Linked DNA regions of Danio rerio. The protein of the gene in region 1 interacts with the protein of each later gene in a pairwise test. Links are inferred from orthologs where the notes say so. Each region holds a gene or a part of one and is shown on either strand. Other genes may lie near its edges. The genes, in order: ptpn3 and lmo1.

Region 1 (3,931 bases):
AGAAGTATAAACCCGGCTTTACAGTATAGTGTTACTATACTGGGGCATTAGGATCCCTACAGACTACAGGGTAAGCACCCCCAGCTGACCTCTATAACACCTCTTCCAGCAGCAACCAATACTGTATTGCCCCTCGTACCATCATTCACTATATCCTACATTAGTCCACTAATATAGTTCACTTGAAGTAGTGAATGAAACTAGTAAGTGAATTCAAGCACCAAAAGGGATGCCATTTTGTTTGTGCTTTGCTGTTTGACCAGGTGCAGCCCTGCTTGGCTTCAGTGGGCTACCATGTGAGAGCTGAGAAAGCTAGCAGCTGGCAGCTATCTATACTCGAATCAGTGGGTAGAGCCTAGACAGGCAGTGATGTAAAAGCAGGCATTGATGACCTTTTGAGAAGGCGGAGTTTAGACACACTATTACATTATGTCATGTTGGCTGTGAGTGGCTTCTGCATAAGCTGTATTATACGAAGAAACTTGATTAAAGTGATACACTGTAGTTATAGTATAGTCTTTAATAATTTCAATAATACTTGTATATTCGGGAATGGATGTACTATGAACATTATATCGTAGCTAATACAACCTGTATATAATGTTTATAGTACAGTACATCCATCTGTAAATATTACCCATAGTTTTTAATATTTGTTATTATAACTTATACCTATACCCTACACTTGCTGCTCGTGCACTCCTGGTTAGACCTAAACTGCATTAATAATTCCGTTAAAAGTGTGATGAACTGAGAAATAAATTCACTTGATCTTTTGACATGTAAGAGGTCACTGCACTATGAACAAATATACTGTAAGTTATAGAATGCAAAGTATTTTTATGTGTCTAAATGAATTCTGTGTCCGCACATTAGTCTGTGCTGTCACTGTTTTGTAGTGTCATTTTTTAAATAAATATGCATAAATCAAGTTTTTCACACAAAAACTGTTTTCTGTCTAAGATATAGTCTACAGTTTTTGTAAATATGTACAGTAATAATAATATAGGACAAGTGTGTCAAATGTTTGCACTATTGCCAATTATAAGGCTGCACTGTGATAATTAAAAAAATACATAATGCCTCATATACTAGAGACAGACTAAATGATATCTGCTCTAATTAAATTGCGCTACCTCATCCCTAGTGTGTATTGTATAGTGTACAGTTGTAATTTTGGTGTACATGCATTTATGACACCTTCTTATGGGGTAGTTCACCCAAAAACTAAATATTACTGATTACTTGGTGACCCTCAATTGGTTATAAAGCTTTGTTAGTTACTTTATGTTGTTAAACACAAAGATATGCTGGAAAAAAAGCTGAAGAGCTGTAAAAAGTAGTAAAAACAAATAGATGTCAATAGTTACATTTTTTCAGCTTTCTTCAAAATATCTTCTTTTCTGTTTAACAGAAGAAGTCGAACAGGTTTTGAACAAGCATGAGGATGAGTAAATAACAGAATTTTCACTTTTGGGTGATCTATCTCTGCAAACACTGTGTAAATGCCACCTCAGATACACTTCTGTGCCACCTTTAAAGTGCAAATTTGACATTAGACAAGTAAACATGAACGTGAACTGGTGATGTGACAATACTTTATAATTTGGGAGAGACAAAAGACACATGACATAAATCAGAATTTGAGACAGAAATCCATCATATGGACACACTAAGTTATTTGACATAAGATTTTTAACAGCCTGTAGTTACTTCAGATTAAGCTACATTAAATACCTCTTGTTCTTTCAGACTTAACCTCACAGATCCAGTTTGTGGACGCTCTCTGTGACTGTTTGCAAATGCAGAAGTCTCACTGATCTGTCTTTGTATACAATGTTTCCCTTTTTGACCATATAAAACGCATAGTTGCAGTCTGAAGTGGGTGTTTTACTTTCGCTCACGGTTAGAGCAGCTCTGACGTTTACACTGGAGGTTAATATTTACCAGCAGCTCGGTTGCAAAAGCACTACTTTACACGCTCGACTTCACTTTTAAGCGACGCGATATTTACGGCTTAGGACATGTAATTACTTGAACCATCCTAAAAAACAAAGAGCCTTTGACTCAAACTACTGTAATATTATGAGTTTGAAACAAAAAAGTAACACAGGACGGTTTAACAGGAGAAAACAGTTTAAAGTTTCTGTATGAGGGCTTTTCTGGGTGTGACGTCTTGCATTTCTGACTCAAGTTCACGCTGGTCTGCTCAGGCTTTAGGTTCGGGCTCTGTCACAAATCTGAACCGAAGTGTCACCAAACCGAGCGGGGTGAACGACAGGACAGTTCTTCTGCTCCAGCGTTTATGACCTCAACATATTTCGAGATCATATTTCGCATGGAAAGAAACAAATCCAGGAGCTTTATCGCGATATTTCCCATAAACAGTCTAGGAGTGAACCGATTTGTTGTTCTTAAAGCCAAATATACGTCGTTTGACAATGTTCTTCTTTAGCCCACAAAGTTGGAGTTCATGCAGGGACATTCATACATCAGAAAAGCGTCAGAAAGTTACCTGCTCGAGCTGTTCCCAATATTTCTGCAGTGTTAGAAGTTCTTACAATCCCCGAGATGAGAGAAAAGTTTCCATGTTAAGGCGATCATGGTCGCAGGTGTCGGTAAACTTCCGGAATATGTTATTTTTCTCTCTCTTGGTTCCTTCGGGAGGGCAATAACGGCGTCACTGCGCTGACCACGAGTGCAGGATCTATTGTGATCATGTAGCAATAGTTTTGTTTTTATGCTCCCCTTCCCACTGCTGGGGTGGTTGCAACACACATTTTACAGATTTCATGATGTGAATGTGATTGTCAGACCTAGCCTGATTTCAAGGCGTGATTCATGTTAAGCCAGAACTCTCAGGAATTTCACGAGCTCGCGCAATTTCAGGTGCGCGTCCCCGCCGGTTTAGGGCGCTGCCTCTTTGAGTCAGTAAGCACACCTGGGTGTAGAGCTTGCTCTAAAATTCTTCTGGTTTTCATTCTGGTTTCCCAGCTTAGTCTTAGTTTTTAACACTTACTATCAATACTATCTGATCAGAGTAAGAGACCAAAATGCGACCATTAACAATGATAATAAAATAAATCCTTAACCACCATATTCTTATTTTTCTTTCGTAAAAACATTAGAATATGGCATATTCCTTATAAATGTGACATCTATGCTCTTAAGACAAAACATAAGAATTAAAATCTGTTTCGGAACTTCTTTTAACTTGCCTTAAAACATCAAATGTAATCATTTTGTGGGTTAGCCAATTTTTTAAATATTCAGCATAACTGACCACTAGCTTGTGTTTTAGTAATCATACTAACTACTTTATCAGTGCCTTGCTGGGTTGCCTTTGTTTACACTCAGTCATGCACTCACTCCTTTTCTTATTTCCTTCTTAATAACAGGTCATCACAGCGAAACGAAATGTCAGTTACTCTTTGTTTGCCAGTGGATGCCTTTCCAGCCGCAACTCAAAATTGAGACATGTTTGTGGTAAATTCACAGCTTCAAATTTATGATGTGAATCTACCATTACAGCAAAGATGTTCTAGATCTGGTGATTATTTAAGCAATTTGAGTATAGTGAATACTATATAGTGTTGTGTTCAAGAAATTATTTTAAGAAACCAGCTTAAGATGATTTAAGATTGATAAAAACATGGGGATAATCAGCAACAATAGGCTGTGGTATTCAGCTAAGGGGTCAAAGTAAGTCAAGAAAATATGCTGAATTACATCATTATTGTCTTAGCTGAAAGGAGTGGTACCTGTTGTGGTCGTCTGTTGCTGTAGCTTACCTGGTTCAAGGTTGTATGTTCTTCTGTGGACTCATAAATGGTTATAGACTTTCTATCACCTCAAATCATCTGATCTTTACCATCAACAAGACATTAGGGGAGCGTGGGGCACAAAGTAACGTGGGGTTAAATGTAACATT
Region 2 (3,931 bases), on another chromosome or scaffold:
TATCACACTTTTTGGAGGATGTTGAGGAAAAGGTAACTAGATAAGTCTTCTGTTGCAGGATGCAGTTATTTCAAAGACTCGCATTGACAGCCTTTAAAAGTTCAGTTATTGAAAACCAAACACATACATATCTTCTGTAGTTTACAAAATCATTATAAATACAACATTATGACTTATTTTTTGTATTAAATCTGCAGAATCACAGTGTAAGTTAATACGTACTGAGGACCTGTTCATGTTCACAGACAACATGAAAGTCGTGCTTATGGTTATTCTTTCACAAGGGTTTCACAATTCATTGAATTCCTCCCTCACTTTTAATATAGTACAAGATGTACTGAACTGAGAATACTGTACCTCTGATATATTTAGAGCACAGCCTTATATTAGGATCAGACTTATCTGTTCAGTTCCTGTGTTAGTTAAAAGTGTGTGTGCATCTGTGTTGGTATATGCGTGTATGAGAGAGAGGGAGAGAGAAAGAGAGAGAGAGAAAGCAGATCCAAGCTGCTTCCCCATCCCTGCCAAAATGCCAGCGCAGTTGGTCGGCACCAGCACGCAAAGGGTGAAGCTTTTAGGCAATGAGCAGCAGGTGATCTAAGCTTTTCTGTAAGTCCTAATGCTCCTAAAAGCCACTCTCCCTGCTTCTGTAATTGGGCATCAGTAGTTAATGTAGTATTGACTGCATTACATGCTCCTGTGCATCCTCTCCTACTAATGCCATTTGCATCACCTTGTACATTTACCATATTGCTTAGCCAATAGCTGTTAAAAGCAATCTGAATCATGAATCATATGGGGAACTTTTAGCAAGACAGACATCCAAAGGAGACAATTTACAGTTGAGTTAATCTGGGTACATTAGCGCAACATGGATTGAGCGAGACAGACCAATTTATGTTTCTACGGCAATCTCTTTATTGGTTTTTAGATGGGTTAGTGAAAGGATGGTTGGCTCAAAGAGATATGAAATATCCATTTTCAAACATAAATATGGGTCTGAAATGCAAGCCGTTAGTTTGGGGGGGAAAGGGCCCCTGGCTAAAACTAAAGGTGTGTGTGATGACAGTATTCCCAGAAACATGACAAGAAAGGCATTTTAGGTCAAAGACGCTTTAAAGGGATTATTTCCCATTTCAACACAGTTTAAAAACGTATTAGAATACAAAAAAAAAAAAAAAACGGGATTCAGCTTCACCACAAACTTGTCAGCACCACAACCTCCAAAAGAAAAGTTTATAAACGGTTTCCATAGGAACCAGCCAGCAGCGTAAATACAGAGAAGTGCATTGCTCATATGGCTATAAAACGCTGACATGTTTACAAACGCAATACACTGCTATCCAATTGGTGATGTATAAATGTTGTCGTTTACATCTTTCAGTAAAGGTTAAGGTTCAAATGCTCTCACCTGTGAGCGAAGACACCCGCTGTTGATAAAACATCTCCGTAACTTCACAGATTTGCACGAGCTCTAACTAACACTGCGGTGAATGCGGACGCTACGTCTTTCTAACAGATTATCAATATTCATATACAAATGGACAGTGAGAGAAGTACACCGTATTCGGCATGTCTCTCCCGACTCAAAGTGTTTCAGAGTCGCGTTCGCGCTCTCTCCCTCATGTAAACCTGGCGAACGTACGTGTCCGTTTGATATGACAAACGAACTGGAGCATGAAAGTGCCGTTCAGAGGGAAAATGGACGCTAAATGCTGCGTTTCCTTACTGTCCCGCGTTCTTCATAGTCATGCGGAGCAAATGAATGCACTAACAATCATCCGTGCACTTACCCTCTTCCTTGTCTAACACCATCGTCCTGAGGAGCGAGGAGTCCGGCTCCAGGCGATCCGCTCTCGGCTCCAGCACACTTCTGCGCGCGCCGCTCGCGTCTCTGAGAAGAAATTGCTTTGCAACAACAAAATAATAATCGTCCGCGTTGCTGCCACAAGCTTTAACTATACAGGCTCGTCTGTGTTGGTTTTCCGCTGTTCAGAGACAGAATGCCATGTAGAGAAGCATATGCGTCGGTTATTCTATTGTTTAATGTATTTCGGAGATTACATGCAGCGATGTCCCCCTAGTCGCGTTCGCGTGCGCAGCGCGTCAGTATAATATCCACGCTTGCAATTAACGATGTCTAAAACTAAAGTGAGACGCCACGGTGCATTCCATTCGAAAATGAAACGACTGCACTAACTCAAATCTAATTTAAACTCCCGTTTAAATTGAGCTGCCGCGAAGAAGCTATTCTCGGAGTAGAAACGTGTTCCTCCCAGTTCTCATTTGCTCCGAAACTGTAACTATATTCAAGAAATCCAATTCTGAGGCTGACAACTCCTAACAGCATGCTCACGCTGCCTCTCTCACCCAATTTATGCGCTCCGCGCGCTCCTGCTACTGAATAAATGCGCGCGCTTCCCAGAGAGCCACGGATTCCCCTGTTAATTAAATCAATTCATTATGCTCAGATCTGATTAGCAGCCCTTCCCCCCTCTTTGAATCAATTATTCAATACACAAACATAATTGCTTGTGCCAGAGGTGTCTAAGTATTAGCTTATTTAACTCCAAGGACACTAATTACCCCTAGGGCAAGGGAACTTTTCTCATTAATTCTGACAAAACACAAAAGCACAGCTAAGGGAAAGTGTGTGTGTGTCTAACAGAGTGTGTGTGAGTGTTTTTGTGAAGTGCTCACAGGGGATGTGTGTGTGTACGTGTGTTCTTGTGTGATTGTGATGTGTGTTATAAATAGAGAAAAGAGGGTTTGAGCTTTTAAAAAGCGTTTTAAGCAGTTCTCATGATCTAATTTCTTCTCGTTCTTCGCTCTTGTCATTATAATAATACTCCTAGATATGTATGATAGGCTAGACGACTCACTTTCCATATTCAGATAAACAGTCATTTTGAGAGCCACAACACAACAGATGGGCTGTGTTTTGATTAGTGGTGAGATAGGAGAGCACGTTTGGCTCTGGTAATATAATTGTTAGCTGTTACTTTGCTGATACAAGTATTGCTGTTTCATGGTGGGCAATTGATGGGCTTTCACCTGCCCTGCGGAGACTCTTATCCAATCAAGGCAGAGATCCACCCCAGATTAACCATTAGCAGAGATGCAGAGGTTACAAGTGCTCTGTTTGTCCATAAGTGATCTGGCATACTAGTTTTTCATTTGCTTTTATTGTACATCACTGTCAAGGTAGAGATGAAAATGTGCCTTGTTTCATGTCTCTGAGATCTGGAACTCCTCGAAGCAGGTGATGAATAGACATAAATTATGAAACTGTAATTCATATCTGCTCATAAGACATTAGGGTGCAAATCTGCCATGCCCCTAGACATTCATTTGTAGTTTAATTTGAACTATAGACTGTAGTAACCTTAGCAGATTGGGATATTGCCCTGCCCCTAAAATCCATTGTTGGAGCCTTTGCTCTCTTCTTCTCTTGCTTGACATGTCTGACTTTTCATTTCAGCAGTGTGATAGATGGATGACTTTTGACCACAAATGTATGTCTGCTGACCTCTTGTGAAGTGAATGACACCCAATTAATCCAATCACAACAAACTGAGGGAACAAGGAAAGCGTGGCCCATTGTAGTTGAATGCTGGACTGCACAAGGCCCCCTGACAGTTAAATGGAGAAACAATAACAAATAATAAGAGAAGCCACATGCTGTTAGAACACTACTTACAAAAAATAAAAAAATAAAAAAAAAATCTTGATATTTAATGATATCCTTGTAACACAGGGTTTTTTGTATTTACTATAATAATAACAGTAAATAAATGCCTAAAAAATCTTAGTTGCCTTAAATTTTTAATCTGAATTAAGATTAACTTTATGAGTCCATTTAACTTATATTATGTAAAACAGACTTAAAACTGCTTGCATAACTTATAAAATTAAGTTCGAACATAATTAA

What was found.
Region 2: the proteins of ptpn3 (region 1) and lmo1 interact in binary tests that used the Homo sapiens proteins (3 or more experiments, as listed by UniProt). The two-hybrid records come from large-scale screens. The link is inferred for Danio rerio from reciprocal best matches to the Homo sapiens genes PTPN3 and LMO1.

Annotation. Positions count from the first base shown.
Region 1 is NC_133191.1:29,668,983-29,672,913, reverse strand, and holds the start of ptpn3 (tyrosine-protein phosphatase non-receptor type 3), read right to left. Parts: upstream 2,615-3,931; 5' UTR 2,516-2,614; intron 1-2,515.
Region 2 is NC_133182.1:28,180,361-28,184,291, forward strand, and holds the start of lmo1 (rhombotin-1), read right to left. Parts: upstream 2,382-3,931; 5' UTR 1,816-2,381; coding exon 1,794-1,815; exon of another isoform or gene 1,446-1,793; coding exon of another isoform or gene 1,412-1,445; intron 1-1,411. UniProt on the Homo sapiens protein: May be involved in gene regulation within neural lineage cells potentially by direct DNA binding or by binding to other transcription factors.